Linked DNA regions of Oryctolagus cuniculus. The protein of the gene in region 1 interacts with the protein of each later gene in a pairwise test. Links are inferred from orthologs where the notes say so. Each region holds a gene or a part of one and is shown on either strand. Other genes may lie near its edges.

Region 1 (7,121 bases):
AGGGTTCTGTTGGCTCCTGATGCATGTGCGTGCGTGTGACCAGTGTAATAGGAGGCACTGCCCTCCCCCCCATGCGTCCACTGACTCCCTAACCCACACGCACACACACGCAAGCTCCAGTGAACACACACGCACACACACTCGCCACGCACACGCCCATCTCGCTGCACGCCCCTCCCCGCCCGTCCTGCCCGAGGCGCCTGGCGGCCCCTGCCCCTCATCCGTCCTGCTGTCAGCCGGTCCCTGGCGCCCCTGCGTCTTTCACACCTTCTCATCTCACTGCTCAATAGCAGGATGCGCGCGGCAGCCGTGGCCTCGGGGAGACGGATGGGCTGGGCCGGACAGCCGGAGCCCACCTGGAGCCCGCCCAGCGGTGCTGCTTCCAGGGAACCGAGCCCTGGGCTCCGTCCAGCCAAGACCACTTCCTCGGGCTCGGGCAGATGCGGGCAGTGAGCCGCAGCCGGCCCGCCCTGGAGGGTGCCTGCACCAGGACGGGGTGGGGGGACCCCATCCAGGGCACCCTGCCTGCCCCCTCTGGCACCACAGCGGGGGTTCTGGGGATGGTGGACGCGGTGGAGGGGGCAGGGCGTCCCTGTGCCGCAGCCTGAGGCACCTCCTCCCTGTGTCACGGCAGGTGGAAGGCCGTGCTGGCATCCCTCCCCGCAGCCCTGTCACCCAGGGCCATCACGGGCATAGGCTCATTCCACACCCAGAACTCCACAGCCCGCTGTGTCTGCACCCACATACAGATGCCCACAGGACACTCGGGAACTAAGCTTCAGACACTGTGTGCATGGAAGAACGCCCACCCTCTGAGGGGCACAGGGGGCAGGTGCGTGCAGGGCCAAGCGTCCCAGTACGTGGCCAGGGCTCTGCTGGCCCCAGACCAAGCCTCGGGCCATGCTGTGTCCAGCAGCTGGCTGGACCTCCCCTCTGGGCTGGGACCTCTCTGTCTTCTCCCTCTCTGGCTGCTTCTCCCAGCTCTGGGTGCCCCCCCACCCCCCCACAGATGGGTGTGCCCAGGGCAGCGCTGACCAGACCCACCCCAGATGCCGTGGGCAAGCCTCCCCGCCTCCACCCACTTCCCCTGCACAACAGACCAAAGACACAGACCATGGGTCCCCCGGGCGTCTTCCTTTTTTTTTTTTTTTTTTTTTTTTTTTTGGACAGGCAGAGTGGACAGTGAGAGAGAGAGACAGAGAGAAAGGTCTTCCTTTGCCGTTGGTTCACCCTCCAATGGCCGCCGCGGCCGGCGCGCTGCGGCCGGCGCACTGCGCTGATCCGATGGCAGGAGCCAGGAGCCAGGTGCTTTTCCTGGTCTCCCATGGGGTGCAGGACCCAAGCACCTGGGCCATCCTCCACTGCACTCCCAGGCCACAGCAGAGAGCTGGCCTGGAAGAGGGGCAACCGGGAAAGAATCCGGCGCCCCGACTGGGACTCGAACCCGGTGTGCCGGCGCTGCTAGGCGGAGGATTAGCCTAGTGAGCCGCGGCGCCGGCCCGTCTTCCATTTTACAGAATGGGAAATTGAGGCCTGGGTGGGGGAGTAGGGGGGCCCCGGGGGCAGAGCCTGGTCAGCAGCATGGGTTAGGGCACCAGGGTGGGGGTGGGGGCCAGCGCGGGCAGGGCGGGCACGGAGAAGGTGAACTTCTCCGTCCGGATGAAGGCCACGCCCTTCTCGTAGTAGGCGGCCTCGTTAATGAATATGGGGTACACAGTGGACTCCCCCTCATAGCACACGTCCTCGCCGCTGAACAGCTGGAAGATGGGGGCGCCGGGCTGCAGGGGCTCGAAGTCTCGGTCCTGGAGGGGGAGCCGGAGGCCAAGGTTGGGGGGCTGACCTCTGCCCCCGCCCCGCCCCAATGGACAGCGGCCCCAGCTGGCGGCAGCCCAGAGGCACCCCTCACTCCGGCTGGCCCTCCCGCCCCTGTGACCGGGTACCTGGTGAGGACCCACCCTGCTGCCAGTCGCCCTGGAAACACACCTGTTGCTATGGAAACCTAGCCTAAAGGTTATGGACTCAGAAACGGGTTCGAATCCTTGGTGGGGGTGTGACGCTCAGGAAGTCACGTTAACCCCTCTGTTCCCCAACCTCCTGGTCTGCAAAACCGGGGTCCCCACGTCTCACCCCCGCCCCGTTTCTGAGTCTCAAGGTCAGGGGGTCAACAGCGCTGGAGACTGTGTGAACGCTCAGTTGTAGGGTAGGGCACCCAAAGTGACTCTTATGCTCACCGCTTGCAAGGGGGCCAGGCCAGCTGGCCCCGACTGCTGGGGCTCCCTCCCTGCACCCCAACCCGAGAGCCGGGCTCAGGACCGCACCGAGCCCTGTTCCACAGCGCCCCCGCGCGGCACCGGCCGGAGCAGCAGGGCGAGTCCCGGAACCCCGGGAAGGGCAGGCCCGGGGCGCGGGGTTGGGGGCGCTCGCGGGTTCCGCGTTGGCGCCCTCCCGGGGCTCGCTGTCCAGGCTGCTGCGCCTGCCCTGGAGTCGAGAGGACCACGGGGCGCCAGGGCCGGGGCGTGGGCGCCTGGATCCCCCCAGAGGCCCGCCCACACACCTGCAGCTGGGGGTGCACGGTGCCCGCAAGGTCCCCGTCGGCCGTGCGAGGGAAGTCCACGCCGCCCAGGTTTCTGTACGCTTCCATCTCGAAGGCTGGGAAGGCGGCCCCTGTGTGGGGTGGGGCGAGGTGAGATACGCGCGCTCGCGGGCCTCGGCTCCCGCACGCCCCCCAGGGGCCTCACCCTGGTTGAAGAGCTCCACGAAGTCCAGAGTGGAGGCCACCAGGGCCCTCATGCGGGAGAAGACGTCGGCCCGCAGCACGCCCTGAGGCTGCGGGCCCAGCTCCAGGCCTGGGGGGCCGGGGGCAGAGAGAGGTAGGAGCAGCAAGGGGGGCGGCCCCAAGACCAGGCCCCGCCCTGCCCTCGTGGCCCCGCCCACTTATCAAAGAAGCCCAGCCCTTGTGGCCACATCCAATCGGTCAGGCCCCGCCCACTTCTCCCAGGGGCGTGGCCTACCCAGCGAGTTCTTGGCCACAGAGCCCACGTGGTAGCTCTCCTCCCCCGGCTGCTTGTACAGGAGGACCCGGCAGGGCAGCTCTGGGGTCTGCAGCTGCGGCCGGGAGAGGCGGGTCAGGGAGGGGAAACTGAGGCAGTGGGGGTGGGGGGAGCACGGGACACCCTACACCAACACCCGGTCTCCCTCGGTCCTGGGGTGCAGGACTGGAGCTAACCCCAGGGAAGGAAGCCCGAGAGAGCCCCCCACTCTGTCCCCACTGCCCCCACCCCTCCCCCACCGGGGGCGGGGCCACCTGCAGGTGGCGGCACAGGTGCATGACGAAGACTTGGTGGGCCGTCTCGGCGATGAGGCAGGTGCCCACGTTGGCTGTGGTGTTGTGCAGGTCCAGGACCAGGTCGAAGGCCGCGCCCGAGGCTTTGGGCCCCAGGAGCTGGTCCAGCTCCCGGGCCCTTGTCACCTCATACGGGTCGTCTGGACTGGCCTTCGCGCTACGGGGATAGAGACGGGGGACGCCAGCCCCCAGAGCTTCAGTCCGTCCGCAGGGGCACTCACGACGGTGGTCCGCCCTCCTGCGTTTCCCCACGAAGCCCCAGCCCTTGTCCCGGCCCTGTCCACCGCCCTGTCCACCTGTCCTGTCCACCGCCCTATCCACCTGCAGGGCCTTGTCACCCGCTGGGCCCTCGCTGGTCACTCCTCTCCTCACCTGGCTAACTTCTCACTTTTGGGGGCTTGGCTGAGACACTGCCTCCCCCAGGAAGCCTTCCCTGACTGCCCGTGGCCCACGCCCCTGCATGCAGCCTCCGGGGTTGTGGCTGCCGTATCGGCCTCTGTGTTCCTAGCACACTGAGGCTTACCCCTCGGTCCTAGGCCCATTCCCATCCTGAGCCGGCCGGAGCCTGGCCTCAGTGGATGCCCACTGAAGAAAGGCAGGAAGGGGAGACGGGGGTGCAAGACAGGTAAACACAGCCTGTGGGCCTGCTCTGAGAGGACCCCCGGGGCTGGGGAGCCCGGCCCAGCCTGCAGTCTGGAGGGCTTCCTGGAGGAGGTGGCCTCTGTCTGGATTTCTGCCTGGAATGGAGGAGGGAGGAACAGCGGCCCAGGAAGTGGGAGAGCCAGAGCGAAGGCAGGGGCAAGGGCGCGCACCTGAGGAAGCCGCTGGTGAAAGCCCGGTTGAGGTCACAGCCGACGTAGCGGCGGCAGGCGGCCGCGGCGGCCGGGTTGGCCAGCACGGGCGTGGCGGCGAAGCTGGGTCTCCGCAGCTCCCCCGGCGCCCGCAGCCAGTGCCGCACCAGGTGGACGCCGGACAGCTCGTTGCCGTGGGTGCCCCCGGTCACGGCCACGCGGCGCAGGGGCTCCCGGGGCACTGGCAGCGCGCACATGCTGTGCGTGGGTGGCTGCCTGGCGGGTGGGCGCACGCAGGGCCCGGCGGTGAGCTCCCCGGGTGGTGCAGCTGGAGGGGCCGTCAGCCGTGAGAGCCCCCGGCCCCCGCGGAGGTCGTCACTGGCGCCCCTGCCTGGGACCTCTCCCTTCTCTGGGGGCTTCCTGCTCCCTCTGGGGTGAGAAGAGCGGGGTGGGGGCGCGGTGGGGAGGGAGACCCCAGGGAGGGGCTCACAGGGAGAGCCCTAGGCCTCCGTCTCGGAGCCGGGGACCGGACAGCATCAGAGCGGGAGGTGGCTGTCCGGAGCCGGGCCCAGGCCACCCCTGCCTGCCCTGCCTGAGAGCCTGGGCTCCCCGGGGCCTGGCCACCCAGGTCAGCGCTGTGTGTGGGCCCGGAGCTCTGGGGACGGGAAGTGTTTGTGCTAAGCCAGCAGAGGCCAGGGGCTGAGGTCCACAGCCAAAGGTCGCACCCCGGCTCCGCCCCGTCCTGCACGGCCCACTGAGTCCAGGCAGCTGCCCTGCCTCCCAGGCCCAGGGGAGGCTCCCTGCGGGCAGAGGGACCAAGCCCTGGAAGTCACGGTCGGGGCAGGCCAGGTGAGGAGCCTCACCCCGGCCCCTCCCGGCCCTGCCTGTCCCAGGGCCCCGGTTCTGCGGCTCGCGAGGCTCCATGAAACGGCCACGAGTCCCGCCACAGCTGTGTTCTCCTTGTTCTAGGCGCTGGCATGACTTCCAGAAACGACTCTCAGGACCCATTGTACAGATGTGGAAACTGAGGCCGAAACAGAGTGGTCAATGGCACTCAGAGCACGAGGGGCGGGCGGCAACCCCTCCAACCCGCCCTGCCCCCGCTGTGCCCCTCTGCGCGCAGTGGGGGGGCAAGGCAAAGTCCCCTGCACTTGGCATGGGCTCAGCTCTCTGCTGGGGGGAGCACGGTCCAGAGGTCACTGACAGGGAGGCAGGCAGAGGCGTGGCGGTCAGCCTGGCCACCTAGTGCCCCCGGAGGCCAGGTCCTGGGACCCCAAGGCCCCACAGGGCAGCCAGGCCCCTCTGGGCTAACCCTCCTTGAAGCTGCTGCTGGCCCGCACCCCTACACTGGGGGTCGTGGGGCCTGGGGACACCCCTGGTCCCAGGGGGCCTCCCCAGGCTGGGACCTGTGCTCCCTGGCAGGCTGTGTGACCCCAAGAGACGTCACACCCTCTCTGAGTCTCCGCTCCTGCCTGGGAGCCCAGGACAGCTGTGAGCAGAGGGGAGCAAGGGCCGCGGGCCGCTGGAAACAGCGCATGTGCGGGCAGCCCCTGGGCGAGAGAGTGGGGTGGGCGTCGTGGCACGGCGGGCTAAGCCACGCGTGGGAGAGCCGCATCCCGTATCAGAGTGCCGGGTTCGAGTGCCGGCTGCTCTGCTTCCAATCCACCTCCCTGCTAACGCGCCCGGGAAAGCAACGGGTGATGGCCCGAGCGCCCGGCCCCTGCGTCCACGTGGGAGTCGTGGATGGAGTTCGACTCCCGGCTTTGCCTGGCCCAGCCCTGGCTGTCGGGACCATGTGTGCATCAGCAGATAGAAGCCTTTCTCTCTCATATAACTAAATACCTCTCTCTCTCTCTCTCTCTCTCTCTCTCTCTCTCTCTCTCTCTCAATAAAAGCGTCAGCTTTCACAGGGAGACAGACCAGAGAGGGCTCAGAGCCCCAGGCAGCCCTGCATGGATTTGCTGGTCCCGGCGGGGCCGTGTGGCCTGGGAGCCACGCCTGGAGCCCGCTGGTCTCTGCTGTGGCCTTGGAGCCCCTGCCTGACCGTGCACGCTCCCGAGTGGGCCCTGTCACCCCGTGGCCCCCTCTGTGGGTCTTTTCCGCCTCTCGCCGACGGTGCCCTCCCTGCCGTCAGCCTGGTCTCCCGGGCACCCGTCATTCCAGAGAAGCGGCACGGGCTGCCCGCTTCACTGTGGCTGCAGGAGGCCTGACTCCATCCCGGGCCTCCCCCACCCCACCCTGCCCTGGCCGCCCTCTCAAGCGCCCGCCCTGGACGCCAGGTGTGTGCCCTGACGTCCACCTGTCGCTTCAGTCAAGTCTCCGCCCGAGGTGAGGCTGGAGGGGTCGTGGGGACCACGGGGCTGGGCCTCGTGGCGCAGGGCGGGGCGGCACCGAGGCAGAGACCGGGAGAGGCCGGGCTGGGGCCACATGTGGCGGACTGGAAGCTACAGGGCAGCAGGTGCCAGCCGGACACACAGACAGGCTGGGCGGCTCCTGCTCACCATCGGGCTGGGGAGGTGGGGGGAGCGGCGACGTCTCCCCTCTCTCCCTCCCACTCCACTGCCCCCCACGACGCCAGGCACCAGTTGATGCCAGGCACTGCGGTGGAGATGGGGGGGCACAGGCCGGGCTCCGCCTGGGGACCTGGCTGTGGAGGGCGCAGGGCCTTCCTGGGTGTAGGTGCAGCATTGCAGCCCAACGCTGGGACAGAGGGCACGGCAGGGCGGCAGTTCGAGCCCCACATCCGGGCTGGCATTGCTGTGGTGCCTGGAGTCGGGGAACCGGGTGGGGGTGGGGGGCTGCGTGCAGGCCCGGGTGTCGTCACCGAGGCTGTCGGCTCCCCAGTGGTGGCCGTGACGGTGGGGACGCTGCCTGGTGCCACCGCCCCTTCACCCCGGGTTGGGATCCGCCTACCTCCCCACACCCTGGCCTCGGCCAGGTCTCCCCGTCCCGCTTCGCTCCGGGACCGCCCTGCCCAGCCCTCCCTG
Region 2 (7,404 bases), on another chromosome or scaffold:
CGCCGGCACACTGGGTTCTAGTCCCGGTCGGGGCGCTGGATTCTGTCCCGGTTGCCCCTCTTCCAGGCCAGCCCTCTGCTGTGGCCAGGGAGTGCAGTGGAGGATGGCCCAAGTCCTTGGGCCCTGCACCCCATGGGAGACCAGGATAAGTACCTGGCTCCTGCCATCGGATCAGCGCGGTGCACCGGCAGCAGCATGCCGGCCGAGGCGGCCATTGGAGGGTGAACCAACGGCAAAGGAAGACCTTTCTCTCTGTCTCTCTCTCACTGTCCACTCTGCCTGTCATTGAAATCTGCCAGAAAAATATATGTAATAAATGTAAAATCTACAATGCCAACGAGAAAGGCACTTTCCCATAAGGATGTTCTCCTGCAACCTGTATAAGTATGCCTGACGACCCCATTGAGTAGTTGCTGAAGGTTTTCTGCAGGGAAATGACACAACCTTGGGAGGCTCCTGTGTGGAGGGGACTAGAGATCAGCAAAGTGTTTCAAAGGTAGATCCTGATATTTTGGAAGCAAAGAGATTGAATGGAGATGGGAAAGAGGATGAGAAAACCGTGACTCATCAGGTTTGTGTATGACAGTGCCATTTTACATGGATGGCCAAGACTGGCAGAAGACCAGGGCTGATGTGTGGAGAGGATAAGGAAATCAAGGCATAATCAAAACCCAGGTACTTGCTCCAGGTACTTGCCATCTCCCCTGACATGTCCTGACTTGAACTAAAAGTTAATCGAAGTCTTTTTTTTTTTTTTTTTCAAAATCCATATCCTCAGAAACCTTACTTATCAGCTTCAAGGACAATAACAAGAGCTTTTTTCCTTCAGGTTTATAAAGTTGGGCTAATTTAAATCCAAAGTTTACTAACACATTGAGGTTCCTCTCTGTTATCGGGACCCTGCCAGACACGAATCACTGTTATCGCACTTCCTCCACTCAGCAGTCTATGAGGTCGTGCCTATTTTTATCTTCACTTTACAAAGATGGGAGGCCCACAGAGAGATCTTATCACTGGATTTGATGGCAGCGCCACAGTTACAAGTCCAAGTCAGGAGTTGATCCTACTGCCTCCCAGTGCCTTGAAATCCCTTGTTTGTATCTGTGTGGCCAGTGTGCTCCAACATAACTTTCTGCAGTGATGGCAGTATTTCCCATCTGCACTGTCCAATAGTCATGCGGTTAGTGAGCACCTGAAATGTGATCCGTGTGACTGGGGAACCGACACTTTCACTGAATTAACCTAAATTTCATTAAGACATGTGGCTAGTGCCTATCGTATTTGTCAGCAGAGTTCCAAATCAGTGACCTGCACAGAGCCCAGGGAGAGCACACATTATGCTGAGTGCAGAAGAAAAGAAAACATATATACATATACACACATATAATATCATATGTAAATTGTCATATATACATACACACATACATAATAAACATAAATCATTGTTTTTCAGATTTTGTGTGTACTTTCTTGTTTATTTTTTGACAGGCAAAGTTAGTCAGTGAGAGAGACAGAGAGAGACAGAGAGAAAGGTCTTCCTTCCGTTGGTTCACCCCTCAAATAGCCTCTACTGCCAGCGCGCTGCACCTATCCGAAGCCAGGAGCCAGGTGCTTCTCCTGGTCTCCCATGCGGGTGCAGGGCCCAGGCACTTGGGCCATCCTCCACTGCATTCCCGGGGCCATGCCTTTTATAATGTACTAACAAATAAATTATAATGGATATGTGGGTGTTAAATACATATGATAATTTTTCACATTTTACTGCACTTACCATGTGCTAGGGACATGCTTTATGCATATTAATTCATTTAATTTTCAAAATGATTCTGTGAGGTAGATACTTCTATTGTCTTCATTTTACAAATGAGGAAACCAAGATAATATTTGGATGTAGCCAAGGACACAGGTAGTTGGGGTCAAAGCCAAGATTTGAGCATAGTCTGTCTGGTTTCTATCCACACACTTGATGGTAAGCTAAACAAGTACAGTGGAGGAGAGAGAGGCCAACATTTTGCTGCAGGGGGTGAGTAACCAAAGTTTTGGGGGCCTAATGTTTTAGACTAGACTTTACTGATCAAAGCATTCCCAATTTGAAAATTCAAAGGAACTTTGGAGTTTATTTAATCCAGCCTGTTTTCATGGGGACAGATACTGCTGCCTATGTAGAGGGAGACAAGGCCAAATTAAGTTGGAGTATAGTCATGGCTGAGACAGGAGTTCTGGGGCCATCTACACTTGTCTAGAGCTCACTATAGTTAACAAACTGAAACGAACGGGTGTTTGATCGTGATTCTGTAACTTTCCCTGGTTAAACAACCCAAAAAAAGGTGTTCACTTTTGGCCAGTTTTGTTTTGACTACCGATTAAAAAAAATTGTTTCGGAGCCACAGAACCAGGGAAAGCCGGGAGGGGACGGGACGCCCAGACGCCAAGAGCAGGTGTAAATAAAGCATGGTGGATCCCGAACTGCTCATTTCCCGTCAGTGATCCGCTACCTGCCGCGTGGCTGGTGGTGGTTCTAATTCAACAGCACTCAAAAGAAAAAAAAAATTGCTACAAAGACTAGGTCAATGGAAAATACAAAATTTACCAATACCTGACTCCCACCTACACACACTTTAAAAATGGACGCCGATCTCCCTCCTCCCTGCCTACCCCAGACAGCCCGCGCGCTTACAAACAGGTGCCGCCGGACAAACGAACGAGGGCACCTGTAACCTTGCGTACTGTCCTAGCGTCGCGGTCGCCAGGTGCGTGAAGTCAGTAGATGGGGTTCTGTGGCGTCAGATAAGTTTTGGAAACACTGAGTTCTACGGCTCGCACTGCAAAAGGCGGTGTGGGGAGCGTGCGCTTTCCCTCCGCTTCTAGAGGGAAGAATTTCAGAGAAAGGCACTGGAAGGCGGGATGGGCAGCAGCGCCTGGAGTAGCACACACAGGTGTGCTCGGACGCCTGGGAGCATCTAAATCCGAAGCCTTCCCTCTGCGTCCTTCAGTTTCCTGGGGAGGCCTGCTGTGGAGGTGGAGAAGGTAGTCTTCCATTCTTCTAGGCTCCCTAAGAACTTCGCACACACCTGAACAGTCCTCTCCCCGGGCTCGACCGAGCCAGGTAACTCGCAGCGCGCGGACCTTAACGACCACGAGGCGCGCGGCGCACGGTGCAGCGCAGGAGCAGGCACCCCACCCTCCCCGCGCTCGCCTGACGCCCGGGTGGGTGTGGCCTCCGCCGAAGGCCCCGCCTCTGGAGCGCGACGCGCGGGCAGGGCGGGGCGGGGCGGGGCGGGACCAGGGAACTGGCAAGAAAGGGCGGGGAGCGAGCGGTGTGGGTGTGCTCGTGCCCGCGCGCTCGCGCCCGGCGTGAGGACGGAGACGCGCCCTGCACGCGCAGGGGAGAGGCCAGCCCAGCAGCCGTTGTGGGGTTCGACTTGGAGGGGCGGGGGAGTCACCTGCGAGCGGCTGCGCCGGCCGCCCGCCCTCCTGCCGCGTCTGGATCGCGCCGGCTGAGCGGGACCGCCGGCGCACGGAGCCTGCGAGGTCAGAAAACAGCGGAACGGGCAGAGTCCGCGCTCGCCGTCAGCGACGAGCAAGAGTCGGTTCTTTGCCGCCGCTGGCTGCGCCCTGCCGGGTAGGTGAAGCCGGGCTTGGTGGCCCGCCGGCTGCGGGTGGGCTGAGAGGGGAGAAGCGAAACTTTCGGGCGCTTCCTCCCGCGGTCCCGGGGCCGTCCGCGGCGCGGGGAGGTGTCGCCGTCGCGGGCGGCGGCGGCGGCGGCGGCGGCGGCCGACGCCATGTTGGGGTCTGTGAGAAACGGGGCGCTCTCGGGCGGCTCCCCCAGCGCCCGGGGCCGGCCTGCGGGCGGGTCGCGGCCGCCGTCCCGCCGGGCCCGCCAGCGCCGGAGCGAGCCGCCTGCGCGTGCGGGACGCAGCCACTGCGAGGGGCCTCGGGGGCCGCCCGGGAGCGTCCGGCCCTCGTGGGTCCGCGGGGCGGGCGCGGGAAGGGGGCCCCCAGGTCCGGCGAGAAGTTGCGGGGCTTGAGGACCGGGGCCCAGGACGCGGGCAGTGCCGTCTCCAGACCCCAGCGCCTTTCTGTCCGGAAAGTTCGCAGGGTGTGGATCTCAGGGCGACCTTGTAACTTGAACATCATATTTCTGTGTGACTTGGGCGGGGAGGTGGGGAATGGCACTGTAGGGGGTTTGCTTTGATCGAAGGGATGACTTGGGCACTTTTTTATTTGGAGTCCTTTAAAGTTTTCTGGTCTTTCGCCGGTTTTTTTCTCTGAAGACTTGCTATCAGAGGCCGAGAGCTCGCTGGTGTAGCTCTCAGTACCTGATCGCAATAACTCGGAAGGGTGCGCCGTGGACAGGAGCAGAATGCAGGTTTCGGATACCTGAGCCCTTCGGAGTTAATTCGTAGACCGACGAAGTAAATGCCGTCTTTGTCGTGTTCTAGTACGGCCGAAGAGACTCTCTGTTAAAGTAGGATTTAGACACTACGTTGGCCGAGAGAGTCGAAGGCATGTGGTGTTCTGGTTAGAATATAGTGAAGTGACATTTCCAAGTAGTTTTCCTCTCCGTGGCTCCTTAAGGGTGCATGCCTTCCGTGTGTCGAGCGGTTGTTTTTTTTTTTTTTTTTTTTTTTTTCTGTACCCTTGGTAGCTCGCGGGGTCCTCAGGTTAATTCAGTATTAACAAAGGCTTCTATTTTTAATCTCCTGGGTCATGACAGCAGGGGAGGTGAATGGTATTAAGTTACTTATTTGGAAAGCACATGTAATCGCCTCAAAAAAAAAAAAAAAAAACAAAACTGGTGTACTAAGACCTCAGAAGAAAAGATTGAGTTTCAGTCGCCCCAGTAAATGAATAAAAACTATTTTTAATAAAACATCTTTGCTTTAAAATCCTGTTAAAAGACCGTTAACCACAAATGCAGTAAACTCCATGTTTTGGAGAGCTTCTCTTTTTACTCTTTCTGGGTGAAAATGTGATTTTTGCTCAGCTTCGCTTGCTGGTTACTTTAGTTCTTACAAATCCTTTTTGTGTTGCTTCATTGTCAAGTAAATGCCATCCATATTTATTTTTATAGCTGAAGAGTTAGTTGGACTTGAGATGACTTCACAAACCTAGCAGCCAGCCTGGTATGTTATTAACTGAGGTTTTATGGCCCTGAAGCCTTCTCATTTTTCTTACAGTGTAACTTTGTAGGGTACATAACCCATTCCTGTGGAGCAGTCCTTGTCCACCTTGTTTATTCTCATCACTGTTCTTTCTGATTTGATTTTAGCGCCTTAGTATAAATATTTCCTAGAAATCTGATTTACAAGGGTTGTTCTGCCAAAATTTTTCTTCCGAAAAATACTCGCTTAAGCCTCTGCTCTTGGAAGCCTTTTCTTCACTGTTCTTCCATTTGTCTCCTGAGAACTCAGTTCACTTCGCCCGTGGTATCCCGGTAAATACTGTGGCGCTTTGATAGCAGGCATCACATGGCTTCAGGTCTGATACTGCCCTTCCTCCCCAGCATGCTGAGAACATAGCAGATGCTCAGCAAAGGTTTGAATGGGTTACACATATGTTTGTTCCTTGTAAATATGCTTCATGAATTTCTTATTAAATTGTAATTTCCATGGGCACCGTGATTAAATCTCTGTGCAGTCTTTTCCAAAGTACATACCGTGAACTCCATTAAACCCACAGATTGGTTGATGGGGCTTTTTGTTTATTTGTTTATTTTGTTAGAATTTACCTAGTTAACTCAATGAATTTTGGCCTGGAGGTACAGAATTTGAATATTTATGAAATTTCCAAGTAGATAATAGGCTGAAGTATAATCACTGATGAATGGAAAGAAGCTGTGGGATCACCAAAAGGATTATAATAATTATCTTTAAATGAAATTGACTTTGCTTATGCTTGATGGAGATGTCTTTTACAAGATTTATTTATTTGAAATTCAGAGTGACAGAGAGAGGAGAGAAAGATATTACACTGGGGCCACCATTGGCATCCCATATGGGTCATGGTTCATGTTCCAGCTGCTCTGTTTCCAATCCAGCTCCCTGCTAATGTGCCTGGAAAAGCAGCGGCAGATGGCCCCTGTGCTTGGCTTCGGCCTGGCTCAGCTCCAGCCAGTGTGGCCTTAGGGGAGTGAACTTTTGAATGGAAGATCTCTGTCTCTATGTAACTCTACCTTTCAAATAAATAAACCTTTAAAAAAATACACATTAAAAAAAAAAAAAAAGATCTTCTCTCTGCTGATTACTTCTTAGATGGCTGCGGTGGCTGGTGCTGGGCCAGACTGAAGGCAGGAGCCTGGAACTCCATCTGGGTCTCCCACGTGGGTGGCAGGGGCCCAGGTTATTGGACCATTTTCTTTCTGCTGCTTTCACAGGTGTGTAAACAGGGAACTGGATTGGAAGCAGAGCAGCCGGGAGTCAATCAGTGCTCCAGTATGGGTTGCTGGTGTTGCAGGTGTCAGCTTAACTTGCTGTGCCACAGCGCTGGCTCTGGAAATACTATTAATACCTGAAAATTTTGAAGGTCATGTTTCTATATTTAAGCCCTTTGATAGAACAACTCATTGCTGTTCCACCAATCATTGTTTTGTCAGAATTTTCTTAGAATTTCATTTTAAAATGTCTTGCTTAGTGGAATTGCCTTTCTATTGATATGTTTATCTTTGAGAACGAACTTTTGAACATGAGCTGTCTAACGATGTGGGTGTTGGCTTAACTGAAACAGCCTTCCTAGGCATGCTTTTATGGTTACTAATTTAAATTGCAAAATCTCACCAGGTTAAAGTGTTCAGTAATTCTGTAATGACTATAGAATTTGAGGTTAATTTCCTGTTTCAGTCCAAGATAACTTTCTCTCTGGTCAATCTGTAAGACACAAACTGGAGTGCTCAATTTGGGGAGGTCCTTGGAAGAGAAGACATTCAGGTAGTTTCTGTGAGTGTAGTGGAAAGCAAGCAAGTTGCAGGTAGGGTGGGCTGGAACAAATAAAACAATTGAAATCGTATCTCTGCTAGTTTCTTACTTGTGACTGTTGAACAAGTCACTTCACTTCTCTAAGTCACTTCACTTCTCTTAGCTTCTATGGAGTCCTTTGTGAAATGGATACAGAAATATTGGCCTCACAATGTTGTTAGTTAATTAAGTTATTAATCTTCGTGAAGATTAACTAAGATGTTTATGGAAGTGTGTTTTGTATTATTTTAACAAATGAACAGACTAGCATTGAATTATATGGAAACAGAATTTGAAAATTTTTGAAGGAAAGTAGCCTTTAGAAATATCTAGTTTTCTTTCTTTCCTTTTTTTTTTTTTTTTTTTTTTAAGATGTGTTTGTTTGAGAGGCAGAGTTACAGACAGAGGGAGAGACAGAGAAAGAGGTCTTCCATCCACTGGTTCACTCCCC
Region 3 (7,163 bases), on another chromosome or scaffold:
ATGTTGAAGACCCTCATATGCACAGATTTTAAAAGTTTGAACCTCAAATAAATGGATGTGTCAATTCCACTTTCCATGAACTTTCGGAAGCCCCCTCATACACAGTGTCTCGTCTGATCTGCTACAACAGTCAAGATGTTGTGGCGAAGACCACATGGCCGGTGAAGCCTCAACTGTTTTTCTATCTGGCCTTTTACAGAAAAAAGTTGATCAAGCCTTGGGCTACAGTATGAAGCATTAGAGAATTGGTAGACTTTTCTTAAGTGTAATAATGATGCTGAGGTTTTGTTCTCTAGAGATGCAGCCAAGGCCTAAAATAGGTGGCGGTAAGGGTCAGTGATGAGTGCAGCCTAGGAAGCTGTCCTGCAGGAGAGATCGTCCATCTCTTGGTTCCTCATCGGATTCACTCCCCAAATGCTTGCAACACTCAGGTCTGGTCCAGGTGACACCAGGAGTCCAGACTCTATCCAGGACTCCCATGTGGGTGGCAGGGGCCCAAGTACCTGAACCATCTTCTGCTGCCTTGCGGGATGTGTTAGCAGGAAGCTGGCCTGAAACGGGAGCAGGCGGAATCTGAACTGGCACTCTCATATGCTGTCACAGGAGTCGTGTACTGCGACTGCTGCGCAGGACTGTCCCTTTTCTAAAGAGCAATTCCCCTCGAGGCGGAGAGACACAGGAGCAGTGAGAGATGGCGTCTATGTCTAAGGCAGCTCTTCTAGGCTGTTTCAGCGACACTTTTGAAAGTTTTTAATGGCCGGCACCGCAGCTCACTAGGCTAATTCTCCACCTGCGGCCCTGGCACATCGGGTTCTAGTCCCGGTTGCTCCTCTTCCAGGCCAGCTCTCTGCTGTGGCCCGGGAGTGCAGTGGAGGATGGCCCAAGTGCTTGGGCCCTGCACCCCATGGGAGACCAGGAGAAGCACCTGGCTCCTGCCATCGGATCAGCGCGGTGCGCCGGCCACAGCACGCCGGCCGTGGCGGCCATTGGAGGGTGAACCAACGGCAAAGGAAGACCTTTCTCTCTGTCTCTCTCACTGTCCACTCTGCCTGTCAAAAAAAAAAAAAAAAAAAAAAAAAAGTTTTGATGATAGGAAGTTGGAAAACGATTCTCCTAGGTTTGCGCCACCTTTCTTCTTACGGGCTTTGGTTCGAAGTTCCAAGTAGCTTTAGATGAAACAGCGTGTTAAGGAAAGGACTGAGCACCAACAAGCTTCTACAACACTGACACGTGCGAATCTCTGGAGTGCGTGCTAATCAGTCTACTGTTTAGGTCATGTCCTGTGCCAGCAGCTGCAGGAAGACAGAGCCCGTTCTTTTGCCTCAGGATTGCAATGTGTGGGCCCAGCGTTGTGGCACAGGAGGTTAAGCCACCACCTCTATGGCGGCGTCCCACATCAGAGCACCATTCAGCCCCCAGCTGCTCTCTGCCGATCCAGCACGCGGCCATGTGTCTGGGAAGGCACAAGATGTCTCAGGCGCTTGGTCCCCTGTGGTCCAATGGGAGCCCAGCTTGGAGTTCCAGGCTCCCAGCTTCAGTCTGCCCCAGGCCCAGCCAGTGCAGTCATTTGAAGAGTGAACCAGCAGATGGAAGATCTATCAATAACCTCCTGTCTCCCTACTGCCTTTCAACTAGGTAAATCTAAAAAGCAACGTGCTCTTCAAGGTATGAGAATGCACATGTATCAGGAAGTGAAAGGCTGGATAATCAATAAATCTGTTGCTAGCATTTTTATTTATTTTTTACTTAAGAAACAATTTTCTTTTAAATTATGGATTCTATTTTTTGATTGTTAAAATTATTTACGCCGGTGCCGCGGCTCACTAGGCTAATCCTCCACCTGCGGCCCTGGCACACCGGGTTCTAGTCCCGGTCAGGCACCGGATTCTGTCCCGGTGGCCCCTCTTCCAGGCCAGCTCTCTGCTGTGGCCCAGGAGTGCAGTGGAGGATGGCCCAAGTGCTTGGGCCCTGCACCCCATGGGAGACCAGGAGAAGCACCTGGCTCCTGCCTTCCGATCAGCGCGGTGCGCCGGCCGCAGCGGCCATTGGAGGGTGAACCAATGGTAAAGGAAGACCTTTCTCTCTGTCTCTCTCTCTCTCACTGTCCACTCTGCCTGTCAAAAAAAAAAAAAAAAATTTACATTCGTTGCAAAGAATATGTATTTCAAAGGAATACATTCTCAGTTGCCAGGTTTCTTTGCTATTTTATACTTTGTGTGCGCACAGCCCCATTGTTTCTGAGATTGAGAAACACCTTCCTGAATGGCACAGGACAACTGGACACCTTCCACTGCAAGACCTCGCGAGAACTGACAAACGACAATGCCCTGAGACCCCAGTACTGCGTGAAGCTGAGGCAGTCAGACCTTTATGGGGTCTCTGTTTCTTTGTTTAAAATGGTAGTAATAATTGTTTTACTTAAGATGAAAAAGGGAAGAAAGTGAAGAGGGCCTAATATCACGTAAAAAGACATGGAAATGTAAACCCCAGGCCACTATGGTCCATGGGACAAACCGAGCAGTTGTTTTCTTAAAAAAAAAAAAAAAAAAAAAATTGTTTATTTGAGAGATACAGGGAGAGGGAGAGGGAGAAGAAGAAGTAGACACAGAGAGAGTGAACTTCAAAGGTCTGCACAGCCAGGGCTGGGCCAGGCTGAAGTTAGGAGCTGGGAACTCAACCTGTATCTCCCATGTGGGTGGCAGGGACCCGAGGTGCAATCAGGAGTGGGGCCAGGACTCAAACCCAGGCACTCCACGGTGGGAGGCTGGAGTTCCAAGTGCTGCTTTAACCATATGCTACGTACCTGCCCCAGATGTTGGCTTTTCTAATAAAGCAGGCCTGTACTGGAACACAGCCACCCCATGTTTTTGCACGGTCTACAGCTGCTTTTGCAATAAGCTGAGTAGTTATTGCAGACCATATGGTCTGCAAAGACTACAACATTTACTATACGGCTTTTCTTAAAAAATGAATTGCTGGCTGCAGTTCTAGGCCAGCATGGTTTTTTTTTTTTTTTTTTTTTTTTTTTTGACAGGCAGAGTTAGGCAGTGAGAGACACAGAAAGGTTTTCCTTCTCTTGGTTCAACCCCCAAAATGGCCGCTACGGTGCTGCGCTGATCCGAAGGCAGGAGCCAGGTGCTTCTCCTGGTCTCCCATGGGGTGCAGGGCCCAAGCACTTGGGCCATCCTCCACTGCACTCCCTGGCCACAGCAGAGAGCTGGCCTGGAAGAGGGGCAACCGGGACAGAATGCGGCGCCCCGACCGGGACTAGAACCTGGTGTGCCGGCGCCGCCAGGCGGAGGATTAGCCTAGTGAGCCGCGGCGCCGGCCGCCAGTAAGGGCTTTTAACAACCCACAGGTGTGTGCTGACTGCTGCCTCCCATGGCTGGTGTTCCTGCGACCAGTCTGTACAAGGGAGAGCCTCGCCACGAAGCTGATCGTAGCTGAAACGTACGCGCGCCCGCAGCAGGCAGATCTGAGCGCGGGGGGCACGCTTCCAAGGGTGCAGAGACTCACCAGGCTGCCTGTGACGACCTAGGACGTCCCCCCGACCCCGACCCCGACCCCGGCAGGGGCTGCACAGGGCGGGTGGAGACGGCCCGTGCTTACGGAGGCCTACTGCGAGCAGACACCTTGCATTTGGTCCTATTCGGATGACACGTAACAAGCACTGTCCCCGCTTCCGGCTGGGGCTAACTGGCCCAAGCTGAGGCTCCGCTAGGTCCTCTGGACTAGGAAATCTACACTTTCTTTCTTTAAGATTTATCTATTTGAGGGCAGAGTTGCAGACAGAGAGAGGTCGAGATAGAGAGAGGGGGTCTTCCACCCAAGGGCTCACTCCCTAAATGGCCGCAAGGGCCGCGGCTGCGCTGATCCGAAGCCAGGAGCTTCTTCCGGGTCTCCCACATGGGTGCAGGGGCCCAAGGACCGGGCCCGTCCACTGCAGCTTTCCCAGGCCATCAGCAGGGAGCCGGATCCGAAGTGGAGCAGGTGGGACTCAACCCGGCGCCCATATGGGATGCCGGCGCCGCAGGCACACGGATGTTTAACTAGTAACAGCCGCAGCGCCGGCCCGAACCCTGCGCTTTCAGCATCTCGCTCCAAGGTCCAGCCACGCGCGACGGGACGGGGAAGGTCACACAGCTGCTGAGGGGGCCTCGGCTGGGGTTCAGGGCTCGCGGCCAGAGAACGGGCTGCTTGTTCTAACCCAAGTTTCCCGACCCCGCCCTCCCTCTCCGAGCACCCCGGGATCTTGACGAGCTGCTTCAGGCCCGTCTCCCGCCGCTGGGGCACCCAGACCAAGGGCAGCCCCTGGAGGCGGGAGGCGGTCCTCAGTTGCACCCAGGCACCCAAGCTGGACGGTCGTTCGTCCCGTCTAGGAGCAGAAAGTGCTCCGTGCCGGCTGCCGCCAGCCCTCTGCGCGCCGCCTACCTGCCGCGGGGCGGTCAGGGTCCCGTCCACGTCGAAGAGGCAAAGCGCTGGTCCCGGAGCTGCCATGGCCCCCGTTTCCGTCCACACCTGAGACGACTCGTTGGCACCCGGACCTCGACCCGGAACTTCCGGGTTCGGCCCTCTTCGCCGCAGAGCACGTCGGGAAGAGACTCCCACAGCCTCCCACAATGCCCGGGGCTAGCGTCGGCCACGGACGCTACACCACAACTCCCAGCATGCAACGCGCGTAGTCCGAGCATGCGCCCTTAGAGTTTCCGGCGGCGGTGAGGTTGTATCCGGCGCCAGGGAGCAGGGCCATGGTAAGGAGGAGGGTGATGGGCTGCGTCGGGGTCGGAGCCAGTGTTGGGGCAAACAGGCAGGAATCCTGAGCTTCTGGTTTGTTGGGTCCTGGGGCGATTGCCCCGATGTGGGTTACGATGTGCTCCTCCACGGCTTGCTGTGGTCTTGCGGGGTCACGTGGGCCAGCAGCGGTGCTAGCGAGCCTCGCGGGGGTGCTCAGGGTGGGCCCCGAGCAGTCGGCGCTGCTTATCCGTGCGCTCCCCATCCATGGATTCACTCAGCTGCCGAGACAGCTGCGTCTGTGCGGAACGCCTACGGGCTCTTGCTACTCCCAAAGGAATCCCCCATAACCACTCTTTACGCCGCGTTTCCATCGTAGTAGTGGTATAAGGTATCACACAAACACTGTGCCATTTTGCATAAGAGACGTGAGCCCTCTGGTTTGGGTGTCTTGTCGTGCATCCCGGAACCAAGCCCCTGCCGGTGCTGATGCACAGTGGTGCTGCGTTTACGGCGTAAAAACCGTTGTCTCGTTCAGTGTGTTCTGAGTGCCCGTTGGTAAAGCCTAACGAACTCACGCAGGTGGAAGCCGAGTTCTGAGAGGAAACGGTCTCTTGTCTCCCTTCCAGGCTGCCCTCCTCCGAGCTGTGCCCAGGTGGCGGGGGCCGGCCGCCTGGGGAAAGCCCCTCTGCGGGCTGTGGTCCTGCGGTGGGCGAGAGGATCCCAAGAGGTGGGTGCGGAGCAGGTCTCCCGGTTCCGAGGAGAAAGCCCCGGGCACAGAGACCGAGAAGTTCCAGATGGTCTACCGTTTCGATGCCATCAGAGCGTTTGGGTACATATCTCGGCTGAAGGTGGCGCAGACGGCCCTGACGCTGGTGGCTCTGCCGCCCGGCTTCTACTGGTACTCCCAGGGCCTCATGCCGCTCGACTCGCTGTGCCTGGTGGGTGGCATAGCTGGCTTCGCCCTGGCCATGCTGTGCTGGATGAGCCATTTCTTCCGCAGGCTCGTAGGCATCCTGTATGTGAACGAGTCGGGCACCGTGCTGCGGGTGGCTCACCTCACCTTCTGGGGCTGGCGACAGGACACGTACTGCCCCGTGGCGGACGTGGTCCCCCTGACGGAGACGAGGGACCGGCCCCACGAGGTGTTTGTGCGCATCCAGCAGTACAGCGGGAAGCAGACCTTCTACCTACCTCTGCGCTACGGGCGCGTCCTGGACAGAGAGCGCTTCACACAGGTGTTTGGGAGACTGGACTCGCTCAAGTGATCAGCTGGGCCTCTGGGAAGCCCTGGGCCCCTTGGGTCACTAACCAAGAAGGCTGAGGGTGTAGACGAGGCCGAAGGAGGGAATCGGGCCCCTAGAGACTGTCAGAACCCTGGGAGTTTGTCTTTTCGGAAGAACACAGAAATTCGGACCCAGGTTTACGGGAAGGCGCCCGAGTGCGGATTCTTCCTGCACTTGCGCGTGCTGTTCTTGCAGATAATGGCCAGGAGGTTCTGTTCGGATCCAGTTCTTGGAGGAAGCTATGCCACGGTCACCCGGACAGTTCACGGGTATTTGGAAGACAGATGTGGGAGGAGCACAGGGTTTGGGGTGCTGTCAGCTCGCTGTTCTGGGCAGCTGACGGAGTCTGTGTGAGCCTTGGTTTCTCACGTCTGTCAAACGGAAAGTTCTTTCTGTCTCGTGGGCTGGATGTCAGAACACACAGTAAACATGCAAGGCCGTAGCCCTGGGCGACTGGGAAGCGTCTGCTCAGAGGTGGTGGTCGGGGCTTTCAGGCAGCGCGCGGGAGCCCTGTGTTCTGCCTCTCCATGCACCCCTTAGCAGAAGAGTGGGACGAAGCGTGGCGGGGGCATTGCACCCTCCCAGGATGGTAACTGCACCCCGAGTGAGGCGCGACGCCCCAGCTGAGATGTTCCGCACCCACAGGCCGAGGCCGTCCCGCTGCGTCATGGAGCCAGATGGGTGTGTGTAGTGCTCTACCTCTGCGTGTTGCCTCCCGTGATCGGTGTGTGTGTCGGCCACGTAGCTTGTAGCAGGGTAAAGGTCTTCGTGATTTTGCCACGCATAAGTCAATAAATTTCGTATCACCTCTGTTTTCATTGTCATGTACTCATCACAAATGTATCGTTGTAACCATGTTAAGTGTACAGTTCAGGGACAGTAAGTACATTTGCAGTGTGGTGTAACCACCCCCACAGTTCACCCCCAGAAGTTTTTCACCATCCCAGGGCCTCTGTACCCACAGAGCAGCACTCGCTCTCCCGTTGGCAGCCACTAATCCCCTTCTGCCTTAGAATCTGCCTGTCTGGACATGGCATGGCCTGGAATCACACAGTATGTGCCCTTTCGTGACTGGCTTCGTTGGCTTGGTGTGATGTTTTCAACGTGTGGGTAGCGTGTAGTGGCATGTAATTCTTCCTTATAGCT

Evidence for each region.
Region 2: the proteins of ACY3 (region 1) and PLEKHF2 interact in binary tests that used the Homo sapiens proteins (3 or more experiments, as listed by UniProt). The two-hybrid records come from large-scale screens. The link is inferred for Oryctolagus cuniculus from reciprocal best matches to the Homo sapiens genes ACY3 and PLEKHF2.
Region 3: the proteins of ACY3 (region 1) and PMM2 interact in binary tests that used the Homo sapiens proteins (3 or more experiments, as listed by UniProt). The two-hybrid records come from large-scale screens. The link is inferred for Oryctolagus cuniculus from reciprocal best matches to the Homo sapiens genes ACY3 and PMM2.

The regions. Positions count from the first base shown.
Region 1 is NC_091432.1:4,480,255-4,487,375, reverse strand, and holds ACY3 (N-acyl-aromatic-L-amino acid amidohydrolase (carboxylate-forming)), read right to left. Parts: upstream 4,836-7,121; 5' UTR 4,392-4,835; coding exon 4,156-4,391; intron 3,501-4,155; coding exon 3,305-3,500; intron 3,106-3,304; coding exon 3,012-3,105; intron 2,847-3,011; coding exon 2,739-2,846; intron 2,665-2,738; coding exon 2,555-2,664; intron 1,803-2,554; coding exon 1,587-1,802; 3' UTR 1,137-1,586; downstream 1-1,136. UniProt on the Homo sapiens protein: Plays an important role in deacetylating mercapturic acids in kidney proximal tubules. Also acts on N-acetyl-aromatic amino acids.
Region 2 is NC_091437.1:120,537,439-120,544,842, forward strand, and holds the start of PLEKHF2 (pleckstrin homology domain-containing family F member 2), read left to right. Parts: upstream 1-2,826; 5' UTR 2,827-3,027; exon of another isoform or gene 3,028-3,106; intron 3,107-3,482; exon of another isoform or gene 3,483-3,622; intron 3,623-5,074; exon of another isoform or gene 5,075-5,126; intron 5,127-6,254; exon of another isoform or gene 6,255-6,376; intron 6,377-6,426; exon of another isoform or gene 6,427-7,404. UniProt on the Homo sapiens protein: May play a role in early endosome fusion upstream of RAB5, hence regulating receptor trafficking and fluid-phase transport. Enhances cellular sensitivity to TNF-induced apoptosis.
Region 3 is NC_091450.1:27,392,649-27,399,811, forward strand, and holds the start of PMM2 (phosphomannomutase 2), read right to left. Parts: upstream 4,669-7,163; 5' UTR 4,498-4,668; coding exon 4,432-4,497; intron 1-4,431. Other genes in the region: TMEM186 (transmembrane protein 186), read left to right, coding at 4,749-4,751, 5,361-5,999. UniProt on the Homo sapiens protein: Involved in the synthesis of the GDP-mannose and dolichol-phosphate-mannose required for a number of critical mannosyl transfer reactions.